Neurospora crassa OR74A: one gene and its partner. The protein of the gene in region 2 interacts with the protein of the main gene of each other region in a pairwise test. Links are inferred from orthologs where the notes say so. Each region holds a gene or a part of one and is shown on either strand. Other genes may lie near its edges.

Region 1 (9,527 bases), on a different chromosome or scaffold from region 2:
TGTTTATAATGCTTTTGGCTAAGCTGACTGCAAGACAAATCACACACATATATAAAAAGGGGTTTTGTAAACAAACATCCGCTTCGCCCAAGTGCTTATCCACCAGCCCACTTCTTACCACTCAGGCGAAGCCCCGGTATCATGTCGCCATGGTGTTCATCTCATGCTTTCAATACTAACGAGATGAAATGGATGATTGTTTAATATCCTACACGTGTGCAACGATTGCAATTACATTCAATGGCTTCTAGAACCATTCGGGCAATTACCTCCCGCAGCATGGCGGGGTATCGACATGGGTTACACCGAACCGAGCGATAAGGACCTGGTTTTCGGCGGTAGAGATCGACATAGAAAGCTGTTTACCATATCCGTTGGCAGTCCATCGAAAAAAAAGGTTGGGTGACATCAGGACAGTCACTGGAGACAAAGCTGACCACCAACACCACCTAGACTTGTCATCCATGCCTTTGCGGTGCCTCGGTCTTTCGGACACGGCGGCGCTCTAAAAGGCCGCTTTGACGGTGGTCGGGGCTGCTGCGGGATTCATACTTGACTCTCTGTTGTTCAGTTGAAACGCAGGGCAACGAGGATGACAGCCAAGGACGCAAGGCACAACCGGCTGAGGTGTTCACTCGAGTCATTGGGTGAACTGCCCAGTGTTTGAGGAACAACACGGGGCGGCGGAAACAGAGATGTGATGGAATGGATGTCCTGGCAGGAATTACGACTGCGTCAATGCAGCTGGTCATTGGCGTTTTAGAGGGGGAGGCGCTGCAATCGCTCGGCATCTTTCAAAGCTGGAAAAGGAAGTCGGACAAGATGGAAGAGGACATCGATGGACAGGATCAGGGACCTGACCCCAGGTTGCCGACCGCTCCCGGTTCCAATGTGTACTTGTGTAGTGTATGACAAAGACCAAGATCCAAGACGGGACTCCTATTGCGGTTTTGGGAACACTGACGCCCAGACAGGGTGCCCGCCGCCACGTTCAAACTGTTTGGCTTCGAGACCGTTCACCTTGTGAGGACGGGAGTCTGTGACTGCGGATCCGTCTGAAATTCAATCATTCTAGGAAAGCCGGCTTGGCCCGATCTCAGTGCCGGCGTGCCCGCTCTCAGATTCAACTCAGGTCCTCTCCTCCCAGGCGGGTGCACTGGCTGGTGGTCCATCAAGGGTACCCGTGTTTCCCGCCGCCTGCAGCCAACGTTTCCTGTAAGTACCTGTCATGTACATAGCTCGGCCCCACCACGACGCAACAGAGCGCCATCTTTCACACTTCCATTTCTTCGCCGAACCCGGGCCGCTTCTGTCCCAAGTGAACAAGAACTGAAGCCTAGGCACACAGCATCGACAAGGAATCGTCAAGGCCAGGCAAAGTCAAATCAGAAGTCACGGTGGAAAGTGGAAACCCCATTATTCACCTCCTACATAGTGTACTAGTAGTGACCAGTCCAAGCCTTGTCTACAGGCTTTGCAGTTCCATGACAGTTGAGATCGCCGTCATCTATTTGGCCCCGACTCTTCTTTCGCCGCCGTCCCATTTGCCTTTCCCTTGCTTCCACTTGACATAGTTTCCGCCCATTCCGCCGCTGCGTCTGCTTGCCGGTCTGGTCTTGTCTTGCATCTTCTGTCGCTCTGTCACCTGTCTGGCCCTTGCATCTTGCATCACACGGTCTTTTATCCCATCTTTTTTATCTCTGTTTTCCAGGGCGGGCCAGACACCAGACGTTATTCGGATTCCTGCCAGGATTTTACAAGTTTTATTAGTTTGCGGAGACGGGCGCAAATTCGAACCAAGAAATCAAAGTCACCCAACAAAAACAACAAAACACCTAAAAAAAAAAAAGATGGCGACCGCTGAGAAAGAGTCAGAGCAGCGTCAACCGGACGAACAGTTCCAAGGTAAGGAGAAAGGAAACAACGACGAAGAATTGGAAAAGAAAAAAACACGAATAAAAAATCAACGGCAACCCCTCATCTCTGATCCCTACTACGCCAATCCTCGGGGACTAGAACGAGCAAGCATTGGATTGAAGCAATTCGCTGACTTGTAGTCTACTCCAACAGCTGTCGAGCCGCAATCGGTCAAAGTCACTCCCGCTGAACCATCCAAAACCGAGCCTGCTGTCCGCTTCAAGTCAACTGTCGAAGAGATCACGCCAGAGGGCACCACATCGACACCAACCATTGCACCAGACGTCACCCTCGGCGAACCGGGTGAGGTCACCCCCGAGCAGCTTCGTGATATCGCCGAGAGGTTGAAGGCCTGTCCGCTGCAGGAGCGAAGGATAAGCCTTTTCCAGTACGAGGCATTCTCGCTTCCCGCTTCAAGGGTAAGCCCATCCTAATTTCACGTGAGGGGCTACGCTTCTTGCTTCCTTCCTTTGTTCATCTCCCAAGTTTTGCTTTTGCCTTGGTCCGTCGCTTCCGGGGGGGGCTTGTGCAACCAAGATCAGCTCGGTGGCTTTTGCTGGCTTTTTCCATGTCTCTTGTCTGATTGCACACCATATATCCATGCATGCATAGTCACCATTCTTCGCGTCTGCGTCTTTACCCCTTGGGCGAGGACTAATACTTTGCTATCTCCAGACACCTTCCCACGAAGATGATTCAAGAGCTCCCAGTCGCGAACATACACGGAGCTCGGCAGGTCGCAACTCACCGCTTCTTACTCCGCACGTCAGGGGCCACGAAATGCATACACCTCCTCTCACGCCGGCTGGAACCGACAACGTCGACCGAGAACTTCGCCGCGAGAGCGCTCTGGCGCAAGAAAGGCGGAGTGCCAACCTCATCACTCCTCAAGATTCTTCCCACGAACCGACATCACCTACCTCTCTCCGCAATGTCCAGCTGCCTACACCCGACGAACAGCTGCGGAGCTCTTCCAGGCCGACTTCGATAGATGGCCGAGATCGTCCCCAGATCACTATTGGTGAACATCGCAGAGGGTTGTTTTCCGTTGGATCCGGCGGCAGCAGTTCCCCCAGTAGATCTCAGCCTGCGTCTCGTGAATCCAGTCCCTCCCGAGCGTTGGCCGCGTCACAGTTCTACACCCGCCAACTACCACCTCCCGGCGATGCCAACGATCCGTACTCGGCAAGCAAACGACCTGCACAAAAAGGCATTGAGCCTCGCTTCATCTTCTCCAGGAAAAAGAACTCGTCCTCTTTGAGTCTGGTATCCAAAAGCGACAAACGCTCCAAGAAGGATCGCCATGACAACGACGACGAGGCCACAATCCCCAGCAGAAATAGCTCAATGGCGGACCTGAAGAGGTTCTTCAAGCTGGGACCCCACAAGAACAAGAGACCGGCATCTCCCGCTGCTTCTGTAAAGTCTACGCCCAAGACACCGGGAGGCAAGTCCGCCCAGATTCCGTTCGGTGACGATCACGGTCTCTCTTCTAAATACGGGAAGCTTGGCAAGGTGTTGGGTGCCGGAGCGGGAGGTTCGGTGAGACTCATGAAGCGCAGCGAAGACGGTGTGGTCTTTGCCGTTAAGGAGTTCCGCCCTCGCCACTCGTACGAAACCGAGCGCGAATATGTCAAGAAGCTTACGGCCGAGTATTGCATGGGATCTTCTTTGCACCATGGCAACATCATTGAAACCCTAGACATTGTCCAGGAGAAGGGCAAGTGGTATGAGGTGATGGAGTACGCTCCGTATGACCTGTTCGCCATTGTCATGACAGGAAAGATGTCTCGAGAAGAGGTCAGCTGCTGCTTCCTTCAGATCTTGAGTGGCGTAACATACCTTCACAGCATGGGCCTCGCGCATCGGGATCTGAAGCTTGACAACGTTGTGGTTAGCGAGCATGGGATTATGAAGATTATCGATTTTGGTAGTGCTCATGTTTTCCGGTATCCGTTTGAGACTGGTATTGTACATGCCTCAGGTATGTAAACACTTGGCTGAGAAGATGCTGGTTGAAGGGTTGCTAACCGATCAAAGGCATTGTTGGATCCGACCCATATCTTGCCCCCGAAGTGTACGACGAAAAGAAGTACGATCCCGAAGCCGTTGATATCTGGTCCTTGGCCATCATCTACTGCTGCATGACACTCCGGCGATTCCCGTGGAAGGTTCCTCGATTGACCGACAACTCGTTCAAGCTATTCGCTGCAGAACCTTCGTTCGGACATGACCCAAAGAAACTGTTGCTTCCACCTTCAGCCTCCACGTCGGCGCTTAGCGATGTTCCATACAGAGACTACGACCCTCAGAGCGTCAGGGCTAGCAGCGACAAGATCGACAAGGTTCAGGATGACAAGAAGACGACTTCCGATCACAAGCCGACAACCAGCGTACAAGGAGAAGCTGGCAGCACTGGAGAGAAGAAGGAGGTTATCCGTGGTCCTTGGAGAATCCTCAGGCTTCTCCCGAGGGAAAGCAGACACGTCATCGGCAGGATGCTCGATCTGGATCCCAAGACACGAGCCAAGATGACGGAAATTCTTGACGATCCATGGGTGGCGAACACCGTCATCTGCCGGCAGATCGGCCCCGGCAACGTGGCACATGCGGACGATCACGTACATACTCTCGAACCCCCATCAGCACCTGCAGGCACCAAAGATGAAAAGGCCAAACGCTAGAAGTGGAGCCTTCGCGCCAGTAGACATCCTCAAATACAGGACGGCTTCTTGGGGGCACAGGATGCCACCAACATTTGGGTTAGGAACAAGAAGGGTTATCTGATGGGACTTGTGGGGGATAACTTGGGTTTAGTATTGAAAAGACCGAACATACGTTTTTAGTGCAGTATATGGGTATTGTTACCATTTTCCTCTCAGTCGGTGTCTGTTTCCTTGCGAGGCAGCGGTTTTTCGTCATTTTCTTGGGCGTTTTTGGGACTTGGGAAGACAGCGCTGCGATTGGGTTTGGGTGTCGATGCAAAGATTCAGTATAGGGGGGCTGGGTTCCAGGCATACAGCGTTCATCTTTTTGATTATGCTACTCTCTGGTAAAAGATAGAAGGTGGTATGGCTAGGCTAGACATATTGTGGGAGACGGGCATTAAACACTGTTGAGTGTACAAAGGTCGCTCGCTTTATAATTAGAAAGTGCAGTTATTGATCGAGTGAGAAGTGGTAAAATCTAGACAGACAGCTGCCCGCCCGTGAGATATGTGACGTTGCTAATGGTGATGGACTTTTCAAGACCGTTCTCAATGAGATGGAAGTTGTAAGTCCAGATTACCCTTTATATAGATACCTATAGATGTAGAGGAGACCTTATCTGTGTTCTGTCATGGTAACCGGAGCAACGGACGGAGCCGCTTCGCAGGACGATCCACCGTTCCCCGGCCAAGCCGGGCGTGTTACCCCAGCTTCGCACAGCCAATCAGAAGCAGGTAGGCTGCCCGTTTAGGCGGGATTGCCGGTGACGTACCGACATCGGTAGGGATAAACAGCAAGTCCGGGCCCATTAAAAAATGGAGCGGCATCTTCTAGATGCGCATCGAAGCTCGTGCAAGGGTAATCAAAAGTCGCGATCCCGCCGACCTGAATACCGAAGCTCTTTCCCCCTCAGTCTCCTCAGATCCGCCGTACTCGTCCATCCTCACGCCCAAGCTCGCCAGTCGAATCCCTCGTTGCCGTTCACCGTTTCAATCCCGTCAAAATGGTGAGCACACACCTCCCGTCCGAGACATCCAATCGCACTCCGCCGCCGGGGACAAGGAAGCGCCGGAAAGAGGGAGCTACATACTGTGGCAGCATTGCGTAGCTATCGGAAGCCTAGCAATTGCGCTGTAGAACCTCTGGCTAGCACCGGCCCAACTGAACATTCGGCGGCAAGCACCACGACAAGTGCAATTGGCGCCGAACATGCAAGACGATATCATGAAACCAAACTGTCGACTAACGCGTTATTGTTGTCGTCACCGCAGGCCACTACCGTCCGCTCCGTCAAGTCCCTCATCCCCCTCCTTGACCGCGTCCTCGTCCAGCGCGTCAAGGCCGAGGCCAAGACTGCCTCCGGCATCTTCCTTCCCGAGTCCTCCGTTAAGGACCTCAACGAGGCCAAGGTTCTCGCTGTTGGCCCCGGTGCCCTCGACAAGGACGGCAAGCGTCTCCCCATGGGTGTCAACGCTGGCGACCGCGTTCTTATCCCTCAGGTACGTTAGAGGGCCACCAATGCGCTACACACAATGCCGGTGCAGAGCAGACGGGCGGTTACAGATTAAGGTTATCTGTCCGTAACACCCGGATGCAACGCATGCATGCATGGGCTGTTGTATAAAGAGGAAAGAAGAGAGGAATATGGATACTAACGCGCTCTTTGACAGTACGGCGGTTCCCCTGTCAAGGTTGGCGAGGAGGAGTACACCCTCTTCCGCGATAGCGAGTAAGTTACACCACACACCACAGATTCTGTCCCTGATTGGAGGGGGGAGGGAAACTATTCCCGGCCGGCCTATGCAAACATACAGGAAGAGCCGGTTACTGACATATGTCTCTTCGATAGGATCCTTGCCAAGATCGCCGAGTAAACCTCGTTGAGCCAGCATAAAACCCAAAAAGCAAAATATAAAGGATACCCTCTCATGATTCTTATGACATTATCAAAAGTGTACCAATATGTAATGTACCAATAGAAACCAGCATTGAACAACAGCTAAACGGACAGGTTGGCATACTTGACACGAAAACGTGGGCATGAGGTGGTGGTGCACGGCATTTATCGCTTGATCATGGTTTGGTTATTGAAAATGACACCTCAACTCACCTCATTCTTGTGACAGTTAACTTGAAGCGAGAGGAAAGATATCGGGATGTCAGTTGTCCTCAATCAACTCCTCACATCACAGTTCGTCCGAATTTCCGGCTCAGAATACGATAGCTTCACCCGATCTCTAGTTTCAGATCAAACAGTGTTCCTCACTCCTCTGGTCTTGGTCCTCGGTTTCCGTCTCATAATCCTTGGTGCTGCCGGTTTGGTGGGGTTCAGACCTGAAAAACTAGACGAGACGAGACGAGATGTGGCTGATACATACTTCTACTGTTATCCATGGAACAACGAGCAAGCGAGCTGTCGTGGGTTGATCAAGCAGAAATATCAGTTAACACGAGCGTCTCCTGTCCCGTACATCTGTCTCGTTCAATTCGTGCTTGACAACATCAGACAAGCAAAGAGAAGGGATATACAAAGACAGCGTCAGTGTAGCACGTTATCGCAAACGGGCAGGGCCGGTGAGCGCTGCGCCGGCGGTAGGCGTGATTTGGTTCCTGATCTTACCCCAGTGGAATCCGAATGACAAGGGACGGGAGGAGAAAGTCGAAGAGTGAGCCAAAACCAACACGGAACCAACAGCAACATAGGAAAATCAACAAAGGCACCACTTCAGCAGCAAGCAGTTAGTTAGTCACACACTGTTGTGGTGTGGTATGGAGCGCCCAGACTGCCATTCACTGGCATTGGGCCTGCCCGAATTGCTCGGTCACATGTGGGCCATTAGGGCGCCACCACTATATATTTTAGCCCTCCACAGTTCTTTTCCTTTCTCGTTCTTAGCTTAGCACAATTAGTCTCAGTCAGACCCACTAACCTCCAAAACCACCCCACCCCACCCGTTTCTGCAGTAGCAGGTCTAAGCCAATTTTGAATATTTCGGCCGTTAACCGCTATAGGGCCCAACTATTGCAATTAAATTCTGCTCTAATTAGAATTAAAATATACCTTAATTCTAATTATTTACTCTTATTAGAACGAAACCCCTAAAATCGCAATACGTAATACATCCGTTTTCGTTCTCTACGACTCTAATTAGAGTAAAACCCCTAAAGTTGCAATATGTAATTTATCCGTTTTTGTTTATTATAACTCCGATTAGAGTAATATATATAGACCTACGACGTTTAATTTACTTAATATAATTTACTATTCGTTCTAGGAAACGGCCGTTCTAACTTTACCTAATAACCCTTCTACGCTTGTATCTAATTCGCCCTTCCTTTCGTTTAAATTTAGTATTTTCCCGAATATTCTAATTATAGTAATATATTTGATTCGTACGTATTTAAACCCTAGGGCTTTAATTCCAACTCCTTACTATAGCCCCCCAACCTCCCCGAACCCAATCGAATATAGCTTACTACTATAAAATTAGAGTAATTTAGGCGTTATTAATTAAAATTAATACTTCGCTCGTTTTATTTAAGAGTATTAGGTATATTTATATCCTAGGGGGATATTAAAACCCTTTATTCGTAGTTAAATTAAAATAATTTAAAGTAATAACCGGCTATCGAAATTCTATATTAAGTAACTTATTAATACGCTATATAATAATTATATATATAAAATTCTCTATTATAGTAATATTATAATATATTTTAATAATAAGGGTAATTTATATAATATAAAGAACTTCTATTAGGAATTAATATCTCTCTCTAAATATATCGACCTATTTTTATTTTTTACGAAGTTTAGTACCTCTTCTACTCTATAGGGGGACTAGCTATATAATATCGCGGATCTATACGATATACAATAAATTACATCGGCTATTAAGCAATATATTAATAGCCTACCTAAATATACGTTTAAATTATATTCGCTTCTTATAAGTTTAATACAATATACTTACACCTATAAAAAAACGTAGGGATTATAAATTTATTATAGCGACTATATTTCGCCTATAATATATATAATCTTAATTATTATTATATATATCGTCGCCCCTAGTAAATCCGATTTCTTTTTGCAAATTATAGGTTTATATTTGCGTACTAACAGCGTTGCTAAGTATATCCAAAATACTTTATCTATTTTTAGTATTTATATATTTTATATTAAAATTATAATAATAATTAAAACTCTTACAATTTCTATAATAGTTAGTACCGTCGATTATTTGTTTTATAATTTATATTAACGCTTTTAGGCTAACTTTAAACGTATTATTTCTAACCCTACTCTTATTATTATATATAATAACTATAACTATTTAAATATAATTTAGAATTTAGGTACTAGTTGATAGGATATAATACGTAACTTTACAATTTATTTATTAATAAATAATTTTAATATTTAAGGCCTATTCCGATTTAACTAATTTCGGTTTACTATTCCCTTCCGACTGTATTGGGTTATCCCGGCTTTCGTACAAACGCTACAATTATTTCGCCCTACTATAAACTATTTAATTATAAAGAAATTAAAGTCCCTCTTTCCGTTTATCGGCGAATAAGGTTTTTTTCCCGCTTATTGCTTCCTTAAAGTTAAATAATATTATATACTTAAAAGCTATATTCTTTAAACGCTTGCTATTAACGAAAACGAAGGTGAATTCGCCGGTATCTATTATTTGTACGATAAATTATTTTTTAATTTATTTAGTATAAATTAGATGTAGTTTAGCGATAGGCTTTTCTTTATTTACGGTAATTAAAAGACGATATTATATATTTGTAAGATTATATTAGTATAGTTAGAGGTATAGAGTATATATAATTATAAGTAGTAGATAATCTTTATCCCTATATTCTTCTATATTAAAATAAATTTCG
Region 2 (11,194 bases):
AGGAGTGCAAGACCTGAATGGGAACGAGACAGAACGAGAGACGTTGGTGGGGCCGAGCAGGGTGTAAGGCACTGCACTCTGTGCAAAATGGTCACGCTCTTGGATGAGGAATGCTCGGGAAACACCTAGGATAATAACGGGATCGATGATAGAGATGAGTGGGTTGGAAAACAGACAAACGGATACCTCTACTTGCAAACAAAAAGCTCTAATCATTAGTCTTAATCATTAGCGTCAGATTACCTACGAAAAATCCGAGGAATCGTTATCTTTTCCAGTTGAAGTTTCGGGGTGGTTGTGAGCTGGGTCGGGTGGGAGTGACCCAAATGTTGTGAACAAGTGTGACCAGCGTTGTGTGTGAAATGGTTTGATTTGCGTTTTATGCTCACCTACCCTCTACTTTCTAGCCTACCCTCTCGACCTTGCTGGGGTGTGGCCGCCCGTGCCGACCGATGCTGTCCGGCAGTGAGGGCGGAGAAGCCTTTTGTCCCGGTGCCGGGGGCAGCGGACTTGACCCCACCGGCTCCGTCTGACAAAGTGGGTCAGTCCGCGACATCTAAACTTTCCCCTGTCCGAGGTCTTGGCGGCGGGGTGGTTCCCGCTGTCCCCGGCTCCAGCTTGCGCGGTTGCCCCTCTTGTCGCATTCCGAATTCCTGAGACGACTTCCTGGCCTTCCCCAGATTCACGACCGAACGTGTTGCGCCGCCTGACTTGACCAAGCGTTAACTGCAGTGAGTTGTCGCGCAGAGGATTTTCAGATCTTTGTTATCTCACTAGTCCAAACATCTCGTTCAGACAAGAAGATATTCCTCAGGATTGTTTTGCAACCACACTCACTCACCCATCACCTTCACCCTCAACCACCAAATCATCATCACAATGTCCGAACAAAAAGAAACAGTCCACATCGGCACCCGCCGCTCGGCCCTCGCCCTCCGACAAGTCGACCTCGTCATTGCCGCCCTCCAGCCTCACCACCCCAACGTCCACTTTCAAGTGCACGCCCTCGCCACCCTCGGCGACAAGAACCAAACGGCCTCTCTGCCCTCCCTCGGCAAGGGCCTCTGGACCAACGAGCTCGAAGCCAAGCTGTTCAACAAGGAAGTCGACTTTATCGTGCACTGCCTCAAGGACATGCCCACCACCCTGCCCGAGGGCGGTAAAATCGGCGTGGTGACGGAGCGCGAGGATCCGCGGGACGTGGTGGTGATGAAGAAGAAGTGGGCCGAGCAAGGGAAGTACAAGTCTCTGGCTGACCTGCCCGAGGGCGCCATCGTGGGTACTTCGTCGGTGCGCCGCGCGGCCCAGCTGCGCAGACGGTACCCCGGCTTGGTGTTCAAGGACGTACGCGGCAATATCGAGACGAGAATGAGAAAGTGCGACGAGGAGGATTATGACTGCATCATCCTGGCCGCGGCGGGGTTGTTGAGGATGGGCTACGACGAGCGGATTGCGCAGTGGTTGGATTCGACGACGGAAGGGGGAGGCATGTTGCATGCGGTCGGACAGGGCGCGCTGGCCATGGAGATCAGGGAGGGCGATGAGAAGACGCTGGAGATCATCAAGCCCTTGTGTCATGAGAAGACCATGGTGGCGACGTTTGCGGAGCGCGCCGTCATGAGGACCTTGGAGGGCGGGTGCAGTGTGCCGATTGGTGTTGAGACCAAGTGGGTGGGCGAGGATCAGTTGCAGTTGAAGGTGACGGTGGTCAGCTTGGATGGAAAGGAGAGTGTGGATGGGCAGAGCGTCGAGGTAATCAAGACGATTGAGGAAGCCGAGGCCATGGGTCAGAAGCTGGCGGAGGATCTGGCTAAGAGGGGCGCGCAGAAGATTCTGGACTTTGTCAACCAGGGTCGTGCCTCGGGGGGTGCACTCAAGATTGGTGATCTCTGAATGTTTGTTCTCTGATGGTGTTTTGTGTACGATAGAGAAGGATGAAAAGATGGCGCGAGGTTTTTTTTGCGGGCGAACCAAAAGTTGAGAGGTATGCGAGGCGCAACCGTGGGTTTCTACGATCTGCTGAATGTTTTCCATGCATGTACATAATCTTGGTATGATACTCTGATGCGTTCCATTGCATGCATGCTTATCCCGATTTAACTCCAATTCGATGTATGCATAAAACTACCAAACACCGCCCTTCGCCGTGTGATGATATGACAAAATACTTCTTTAGGCGTACTTTGTTGGGCCCCCCATGTCGTTTGTCTAAAAGCAGGTTGAACTGTCCGAAATTGAGTTGATCCCCGTAACCATTTCCCCGGGTTCCGTCATAAATAGCCAATATACACCAAGCGTCATTAATCTTTTTCCCGTCAAGCGGCGCCCCCCATGATTTTGAATCTCTTGCGTTATGTTTAGTGGTCCTCGGCGGCAGTGAACTCCTTGTAGGCCTCCTCGTCCATGAGCTTCTCGAGATCGGCAATGCCCTGGTCGGTAACCTGGACCTTGGCGACCCAACCGCCGCTGGCAGAGTGGTCCTCGGGAACCTTGTTGATGGTCGAAGGGCTCTCCTCGAGGGTCAAGTTGCTAGCAATGACCTTGCAGCTGACGGGGGCGTTGATGTCGGCGGCAGACTTGACGGACTCGACGGCGCCAAGGGCATCGCCAGCGTGGACCTCCTTGCCCTCCTCGGGGAGCTCGACGAAGACGACGTCGCCGAGGGCCTTGGCGGCGTAGGAGCTGATGCCAACGTAACCAGTCTTCTTGTCGTCGGAGAGCTCGATCCACTCGTGCTCGCGGGTGTACTTCCTTAGCTCATCTGTTTGTTGTGGTTGTGTTAGTTAGCATGTTGTTGCGATTGTGCGCGCCATGTGTTGTGGTTGTGTGAATCATTGTCGCAAAGGATGACTCCGCTTATCGGGAAGCGCATCGGCTGATGGAGACGGGAACGGGTGGCTCACTGTTGGCAGTAACAGAGAAGGGACGCGCAATGCGGACGGAGCTCTGGGCGAAAGCAGAAACGACGGAAGGACGAGCAATCCGGAGGCAGCGAGCAATGGAGGCCATTGTGACGGTCGGTGGTTTGGGCGGAGGGGGGGTGGACGGAAGGCGTGTATATCGGCGTCGCTTGGTGGTGTCGCAAGTAGTTGTTAGTGCTCAATCCAACCTATGCACCGGCCACAAGTCAGAAAAAGGCACAGACAGAGACGGGACCCGGGGTACATCCGCGGTACTATCGAATGACGAAAACAAAGTGCCGGCCACCCGACAAACGGCTAGACTCGGGGCCAGCAGCTGTCAAGGCCGGCTTGCCAAGACCACAGAACCGAGCAGCGGGAGATGTCGAATGCAACCCATATTATGTAAGCGCACCAAAAAGCAAACCATAGCCGGGCCATCAAGGTGGAACGGGCCGGATCTGGGGAAAGATCAACTGAAGAAAAACAAAAGCACGTCACCGGGCAACACATGGCAGACCGGACTTGCAAATGGATGGAGTGAGTGTCCACTGTTTTGAGTGCCCACTGCACCCCTTGGCAAGGAGCTGAGGCAGCATGGCACTCGGCGCGGGAGGGTGTGAGCAGTCCGTCGGTTCAATGGGCAATAGGCAAAGACGTTGGAAAGGCGCAAGGGGAGTGATGTGCCATGGCTTGCTCCAACATGCAGCCCGCCATAGGTTGATGCTTCCGATGAGGTTCAGATGCTGCAAGGGCCCGAGTGTGGATGTTCTGTTTACATATTGGAAATTTGTTGTGGACATCCATTGTTTTGTTGGAGTTATCGCCATCTTTCTTGCTCATCAACGGTTCAGTTGCCCGATGTGCACCACACACAACTGAAATAAGCCCCTCTGCCGGTGTCACCTTGCCCTTCTGCCACTCACACTGCATCATCTCAAACATACGTGACTGCTGTGTTGCCTTGATATTGCCGGGTGCCAATCTCCCTTCAGCTGTCAAGGACTTCCATGTTGTTCTGGCGCGGGGTTCATCTTAATCGTGATTGTCATAGCAATATCTCGGGGCCCAATTTGGAAACTCAAATCGTTCGACGTGGGATGCACTGCCCGCCTACCCATCTCCACATGCTCGCTCGGGCTTGTCGTCAACACAGCTGAATGTTTTCTTAGTGTACAGTTTGATGGCAAACGGACAAGGGAGCAGCCGCAAGCGCCGCCGCGCACATGAGGATTGAGATCTCATCTTGACGCCAACGAGAGGACCCCAGGGCAGTCCAGTGTTCGAAAAACAGGCGCCTAGCCCAGCCAAGCCAAGCGCTAGCGGACCCACAATCTGCGATCTTTAAGTGGAGTCTTGGTCTGATCAATTCCCTTCGATTGGAGCTCCTTCCCCTTGGTCCGTGCGTGCCCAGCTAGCTTCATCGTGTGTACCTATCGTCACTCTGCTGCCCGTCAGCGCCGCCAGCCCTGCACACGCAGTTGCGGGAGTGTCTAGCCTCTCTGGAGGGTCGGTACATAGCCATAGGTACGCCAACATCAATCCGACGACTCCTTGCATAGCATCTCGCAGCAGCAAGCATTCAGTCTGAATCCACTTCCATCAATCATTCATATTCCATCTCCATTCCCACTTCACTTCCATCCATCGATCTTCCAACCCCAGCTCGTTGCTGCAGCATCACTACATACACTACATACGACTCCGCCCGCACTTCAGCTGCCATCGGGAATCCATTCGTCGCCGTCCGCAGTCAGCAGCAGTCTCCACAGCCTCGGTGAAACAAACCCACAGGGTGCCCAGCAGGTACATACATACCTACATAGTCGTCGACTTATCGCACGATCCCCGATTGCGTTGCATCTTCCACGGCCGACCCGGCAAACCACAATTGTCTGTCTCCAGGTAGCAAAGCAAGAAACGAGCAACATACAAGCAACCATTTACAAACCACTATCACGCGCCATATACCCATCCTTTTAACCAACGGCCAACTTATCCGACCGCGCCGTCTCAATCACCAAGACCAACCTTTTCCCTCCCCTCGTCCCATCTCGTGCAGTCGCCCCTCCCCCCCGCTTGCCGCCCGAACCCACGAGGAAAGCGTTATACGGGGTTTCACCAAACACCACAAACGGACCACGACAAACCGATTGCTGGATCCCTCCCGTCCGACCCCTTTCCGCTGGTCTTCGTCTCGCCCGCACAGACAACCCAGCATCCCAGGCTGAACCTCTCTGTCTACCTACCCCTCCTTAGGCCTCATCCATTGTCAAGCTGGACTTATCGCCCTTCTTCGCCGGGTCCCCGGACCAGTTCCTCGATAACAACAACCACAACAGCAACATGGACACCGTGGTGATGGATCACGATCAAACCATTAGCCCAAACGAGGCTCAGCTTCCTCACAACAACAACATTCCAGACGACAACATGGGTGGTCTGGAGGATTCACCCCAAATAACACCCGACCAAAACGGCTTCCCAGATCGCCATTACCAACAGCAATTCGATCAGAACCTCAACAGCTCACCACGGTCATATTCCCAACACGACAACTTCGACTCAGACCGATATGCCACGCCACCAGCACCCCAGCCTTCAACGTCACGACCGCCCTCGGGGCTCGACGGCCAGAACCCATCCCAGTCCGCAGAAAACGGCTCGCGGACAACCGCCGGCGGGAGTTCCAGCGAGCAAGCCAACGGGCGCAATCATGTCGTGATCAAGGTCGGCATGGTCGGTGATGCGCAGATTGGCAAGACAAGCTTGATGGTCAAATACGTCGAAGGCAGTTGGGACGAGGACTACATCCAGACTCTGGGCGTCAACTTCATGGAAAAGACCATCAGCATCCGCAACACCGAGATCACCTTCAGCATCTGGGATCTTGGCGGTCAACGCGAGTTCGTCAATATGTTGCCGCTCGTGTGCAACGATGCTGTAGCCATCCTCTTCATGTTCGACTTGACCCGCAAGAGCACGTTGAACAGCATCAAGGAATGGTACCGCCAGGGGCGAGGATTCAACAAGACGGCCATTCCCGTCCTTGTAGGCACAAAGTACGATCACTTTGTGAACCTTTCGCGGGAGGAGCAGGAGGAAATCTCCAACCAGGTAGGATCCGTCATTTGTGCGTATACGGCAAAGTTCCTGCTTGCTGACGTTACTTTTCCAGGCACGGCGATTCGCCAAGGCCATGCGTGCGGCATTGATCTTTAGCAGCACCAGTCACAGCATCAATGTCCAGAAGGTACGTCACACTTTGTTTGCCGCAACTGGTGCATGGTCTGACTGTTTCGCAGATCTTCAAGATCGTACTATCCAAAGCCTTCGATCTAAAATGCACAATTCCTGAAATTAGCAACGTTGGCGAGCCACTTCTCTTGTACCAGTCGGTATAGGTTGATGAGTAAATTCGACGCTGTCAACCGTCTTCGCGACAACTGTGCGAGCGGCCTCCTCCGACGATCTGCAATTTGCATTAATACCCCTGGCTGGTGTCGGAGCGACGGCACATGTTGAGTACCTGTAACGGTCACTCGACAGCGACGTGGGAGACCCAATTAACGGAATACCGAGGCGCGGTCCCCTTTGCATATATTTGCTTCGAAGCCCCTCCCCCCTTTTCCCGTGCCCGAACACCCTCGAGGCAACTCCACTCATCAGGACAATCGCATTTTGTGATTATTTAGTCCGTGGCTTAGCAAATAAAGCACAATGGAGGACGGCAAATGGGCATGGGTCGTGATAAAAACGAGACATAATAGTCTTTGGAGTCCGGTTGTAAGGAACGGCTGGCGCAGGACCGATCATACCAAATTGGGCATCTCAATCCGAAATACGATGGGGAAGGGTATTCTATACTATGAATACGGAGCGCAAGGAATACGTGGGGCGCGTGCCTTTGGCCCTTCAGGCGTGGCATCGTCCCCGGTACAGGTAGAAAGGGACTGGATGTTCATTCTTTGGTAGTATGTGTTTTAATTCCCTGTTGGCAGTCAACATATCGGTATTTTCCTGCACATTCTTTGCCTTCTTCTTGCTCTCCAAGCCGATGGCACGAAACACTACCCGCCTCTCCCCGCAGACGTTCCGAGACATCTATCATTTTTTTTCAACGTGTCGCCTCAAAACTGACACCATGTATCTTCCGGCGTATGGAGTGCTCAGTCGGTCTACCATAGAACCAGCCACTTGACCAGAAACAAATGGCCACGGAGGCTGTATATGCAAAACATCATATATCCGTTACCAGAATCATCTGCTGAATAAAGTGCCACTGGGGTTGGGACAACTCATAAAGGTGAGCTTCCTCCTCTGCAAGAAGGAAGAGCACGTAGGCTGCGAACCGAAACGACGTACACTACAAGGTTCTGTCCTCACAAGATCGGTTTCCCGAAACCTGTTGTTCTTCCCAATGTGGTTCTCGTAATCCCGCTTGCGGACGTCGCAGTAGATAACGGAACAGGCATACGCAAACCCCGAGAACCGTACTCGAACCTCATCATAGACACCAGAGGCTTACCAGACATTCCATCCTCGTCCTTGCGGCTGATACATCACACCCGAGGACAATGTAAGGTTGTCAAAAGTTCGTCCCTCTGCGCCCTGCTCGTGATTCGTTACCTCGTGCCCGGCCAACTCAGACGCCGTGCAATCGCTGACCAAGGATAGCTGCTCAGGTCAAACCCTTCATTGACTCTTGGGACTCAGGTTCGGCGCACGCGTGCCACATCAACAAGCATGATGCTTAACCTGTCACGTCATGGCGATCCATCCATCGGCCTTGAGCCAACTCCAGACACCCAACTACCATGCTCTATTTCCTCACCGAGAACATCCACTCCGCTGGCTTATCGAGATCATCCAATGGTTTCGATCACTGTGGACTACATCCGGAGAATCTGCGCTTGGGAAGCAGTTTTTTTCCCCTCCACCCACAAAGGGTGAAACAACGACGACGTGACCAAGGGTTCCGTTGTCTGTGGTTGGGGAGGCACCGCAACTCGAAGACGTTGGACAAACAGAGGGACTTTGACACTGCTTGGCTAACGAAGCTCTTTGAGCGGCCTTTCCTTCCGAGATGATGAATCCCAAGCTCGTAATCAGAGACAGAAAACCGATGGATGAGGTTAAAAGCATTTACGATCACATCATCGCATCCATCTGAGACATCCCTTCTTCCCAAACTACGGCCATTTTGATCATCAAAGCTGCAGAAAGACCCAAAACCGACAGCAACACCGAAGCATTATGAAGTCCTTCATCGCCTTCTGCTCTGCAGCCTGCTTCTTTTGCCTAGCGCTCGGCCAGAGCACCGCAGGATCGGGCACGACGTTCTGGCAAGCCGCGGTGCCGTCGAGCACCGCTCCAAGCACTTGGACTCCGAGCACGCCGGCTCCTCCTGGCCAGGCGCTGTGCGGGCAAGGGTTTACTTATTGCGGTTATATCTTGAGGGATCATCAAAGTACGTCTTCAACCCGATACAACTTTGTTTTCAATCCACTTTCCGTTCGCTCTCTTTTCTTCTTCTTCTTCCGACTTTCCTTACTATCTTCCTCTCCTCTAAAATCTCTATTTACCCGCTTCTTAATTCTTCTTTATAGTTCCTTTACCCTATCTTTTACTTATCTTTATCCTTTCTACGCCCTCTTTTTACCCTCTCTTTACCCTTTTATTTCCCTTATTTACCTTCTCTTTACCTTCTCTTTACCTTCTCTTCACCTTCTCTTCACCCTCTCTTCACCCTCTCTTCGCCCTTTTATTTTCCTTATTTACCTTCTCTTTACCTTCCCTTTACCTTCTCTTTACCTTCTCTTTACCTTCTCTTTACCTTCTCTTCACCTTCTCTTCACCTTCTCTTCGCCCTTTCTTTACCATTTCGTTATCCTCTTTTTATAAACCAATTACCCTATCTTCACCTTCCCTTTATATTTTTTTTCTATATTTTCGTCTTTAATTTTTTTTTAACTTTTCTTCCTTTTTTTCCTACCAGGCCGTCGCCGCATCTCATCTTCGGACAACTACTACAGCAGCCAAGAACTTTCTCTACCCTACTCCCTCCCACTTACACTTCTTTTCCCTTCCTTTCAGCTATCAACGTCCAATTTAACAATTCACACTCCAACCCCAACTAACATCTCCTCCCCTTCTTAGACTTCAAAGAAGAAGATGTAGTCAAAGCCTACTGCGCCGCCTCCAGGAGTAACTGCGCCAACGGCAAAACCAAGACCGACCCTATCCAAGCCCTCTACGTCTGCCTCCCCGCCAACGCCAACCCAAAGGAAAAGGAAAAGGCAAAAGACTCCGCCATGTCGCCGAACCCGCACTTCGACGACGCACCCACTCCCGTACTGTCATCCGGCAAGTCCATCTCGGGGCTCTCCCGGTTCTTCAGCATCCTCTCTTCGCGCACGCATATGAATATGAACCATGCCGTTCATGAGAACATGGATCAAGATAGCACCACCGGAAAGATGATGCAAGCGAGACAGGCGCCAGCGTCGTCGTCGTCGTCGTCGTCAAACACGACGAATGCAGGGAATGATGGTGGTAGTTGCAATACGCTGGCTACGTCGGGGAATAGGATTGAGTTGTTGTGCGCCTGTAGTGGCAACTGTCTGAATCCGGTGTCGGATCATATTGGGAGGTGTGACCAGTCTTGTTAGTAATTGGATTCCAAGTGTCTTCGGGAGGTGGATGGGGTGGGCGGTAATGGTTAATGCGGAGGTGGGCGAGTAGGGAAAAAAAAATCACGGGAAGTAAAAATGGTATGTTTTCCTTATCAATCCAAGGTCTTTCTTGTCTAGTTGTCTCATTATGAGGCAGCTGTTTATAGACTAGTCAATCGAACTGTTATTTCATGCTTCGGTTCATCAGTTTTGGATAACGCCAGTTCGACGGTATTAGGAAAGTATTAACAATCTAATTGGGAGCGAGAAGGATCATATTAGGAGAGGCTTCATGCGATCTGAAAGGCCCTTATTGTTATGCTACGTAGTGTAGCTACCGATATACCGAGCAGCTGCCAATCCATAGCCATAGCTCCGAGCTTTTGCAATGCGCACGTTCTTTTTGTCTGGATGGTCTACCCATGAGTCTCATCCAATGTCCACGCCGTGGTAGTGGCATCTGCACGAGACAAGCCGACCGTCATCACGTATATCACCCGGATTTGAAATCTTTCCGTCCAGTAAGACAACGTCAGCAAGCCAAATCGGATTACCAAGAAACGGTCACGTCCAGTATCACCAACTTCACACTTTTGTTATAGCACCTAGACACTCACGCTTCTCTCCTGTAGTAACCCTTTCCCGCGTGCACGCATGACGCAAGGCCGTGTTATATGTTCCAACTTCAAGCATTATCTCATACAGATAACTTGGTTCCAAGAGGATCAAGCAAGAGCCATGAGGCATCGCTATACATCATTTGATAAGCGTTATTCATCTTGGGTCAGTTGTTATATACACTGGAATAGTCATGGCATCATCTGTCATCTTCACAACCGCGGCAAAAGACAAGTAGGCTTCAACCCCTACAACCTGCGGCCATCGCAAGGACCAAACACTGGTGTCGGCCAGGGCGCAGGCATATTTCAGAATGAGAACGTATATGCAGTAATGAGTTTGCCCGCGCGGTCTCGTCGTCAAAGAAGCATGAGTAAACGACTTCAGATATATTTTCCTTCAGCGAGCATATAGGTTTATGGATGGCTGTCATTACATATTCATCCGACAAGCAAGCTCTGTGAAACTACCTCCAATTCCGGCAAGCAACTCCCGCTATGACTATGATTGCAATATGAGACTGCATTTGGCTGGGTTTCCATGACGGTTTGTGCCTCTGACTGTTGTCAACGCCCATCTGACTCTGTCATGGCCATGATGATCCCCATCCAACAACAGTATGACGGCAAGCGTGTACGCAAAGGCAAAACCCAAGGAAGCAAATGACTGAAAGCTATGATCAAGCAACAAGGAGGGTATTACGAACTTTTGATCCCAACCAACCCATTTGCCCACTCATAGCGAAGAACAAGTTTCCAAGACGCCCCTCAGATACTCCCAAACTCCTCCTCATTGATCAACCTCCCCAAAATCAAACTCTGAATAACCAACTCATCACTCAACGTCCTGACCCTCTTCGATGGCGGCTGCTTCTCCGCCTCGGTTGGCTCATAGACGTACCCCACGCTCTGCCTCTTCCTCTTTTTGCTCTTTGTACTCTTCCCGCCACCACCGGCGCTGGCACTAGCACTACCGGCATCACTTTCACCCACCCCTAGGATA

The links.
Region 1: the proteins of NCU08878 (region 2) and NCU04334 interact in a two-hybrid assay, tested with the Saccharomyces cerevisiae proteins (2 studies listed by BioGRID). The link is inferred for Neurospora crassa OR74A from reciprocal best matches to the Saccharomyces cerevisiae genes TEM1 and HSP10.

What each region holds. Positions count from the first base shown.
Region 1 is NC_026504.1:3,735,874-3,745,400, forward strand, and holds NCU04334 (chaperonin), read left to right. Parts: upstream 1-5,467; 5' UTR 5,468-5,628; coding exon 5,629-5,631; intron 5,632-5,896; coding exon 5,897-6,124; intron 6,125-6,295; coding exon 6,296-6,354; intron 6,355-6,474; coding exon 6,475-6,499; 3' UTR 6,500-6,897; downstream 6,898-9,527. Other genes in the region: stk-30 (protein kinase), read left to right, coding at 1,851-1,905, 2,071-2,336, 2,593-3,901, 3,958-4,601. UniProt on the Saccharomyces cerevisiae protein: Eukaryotic CPN10 homolog which is essential for mitochondrial protein biogenesis, together with CPN60. Binds to CPN60 in the presence of Mg-ATP and suppresses the ATPase activity of the latter.
Region 2 is NC_026505.1:31,369-42,562, reverse strand, and holds NCU08878 (TEM1), read left to right. Parts: upstream 1-4,400; 5' UTR 4,401-5,246; coding exon 5,247-6,017; intron 6,018-6,078; coding exon 6,079-6,153; intron 6,154-6,205; coding exon 6,206-6,304; 3' UTR 6,305-7,494; intron 7,495-7,585; 3' UTR 7,586-7,679; downstream 7,680-11,194. Other genes in the region: NCU10292 (porphobilinogen deaminase, variant), read left to right, coding at 880-1,893; NCU08877 (glycine cleavage system H protein), read right to left, coding at 2,358-2,761, 2,904-3,009; NCU10861 (hypothetical protein), read left to right, coding at 8,157-8,370, 9,060-9,571; NCU08879 (hypothetical protein), read right to left, coding at 10,960-11,194.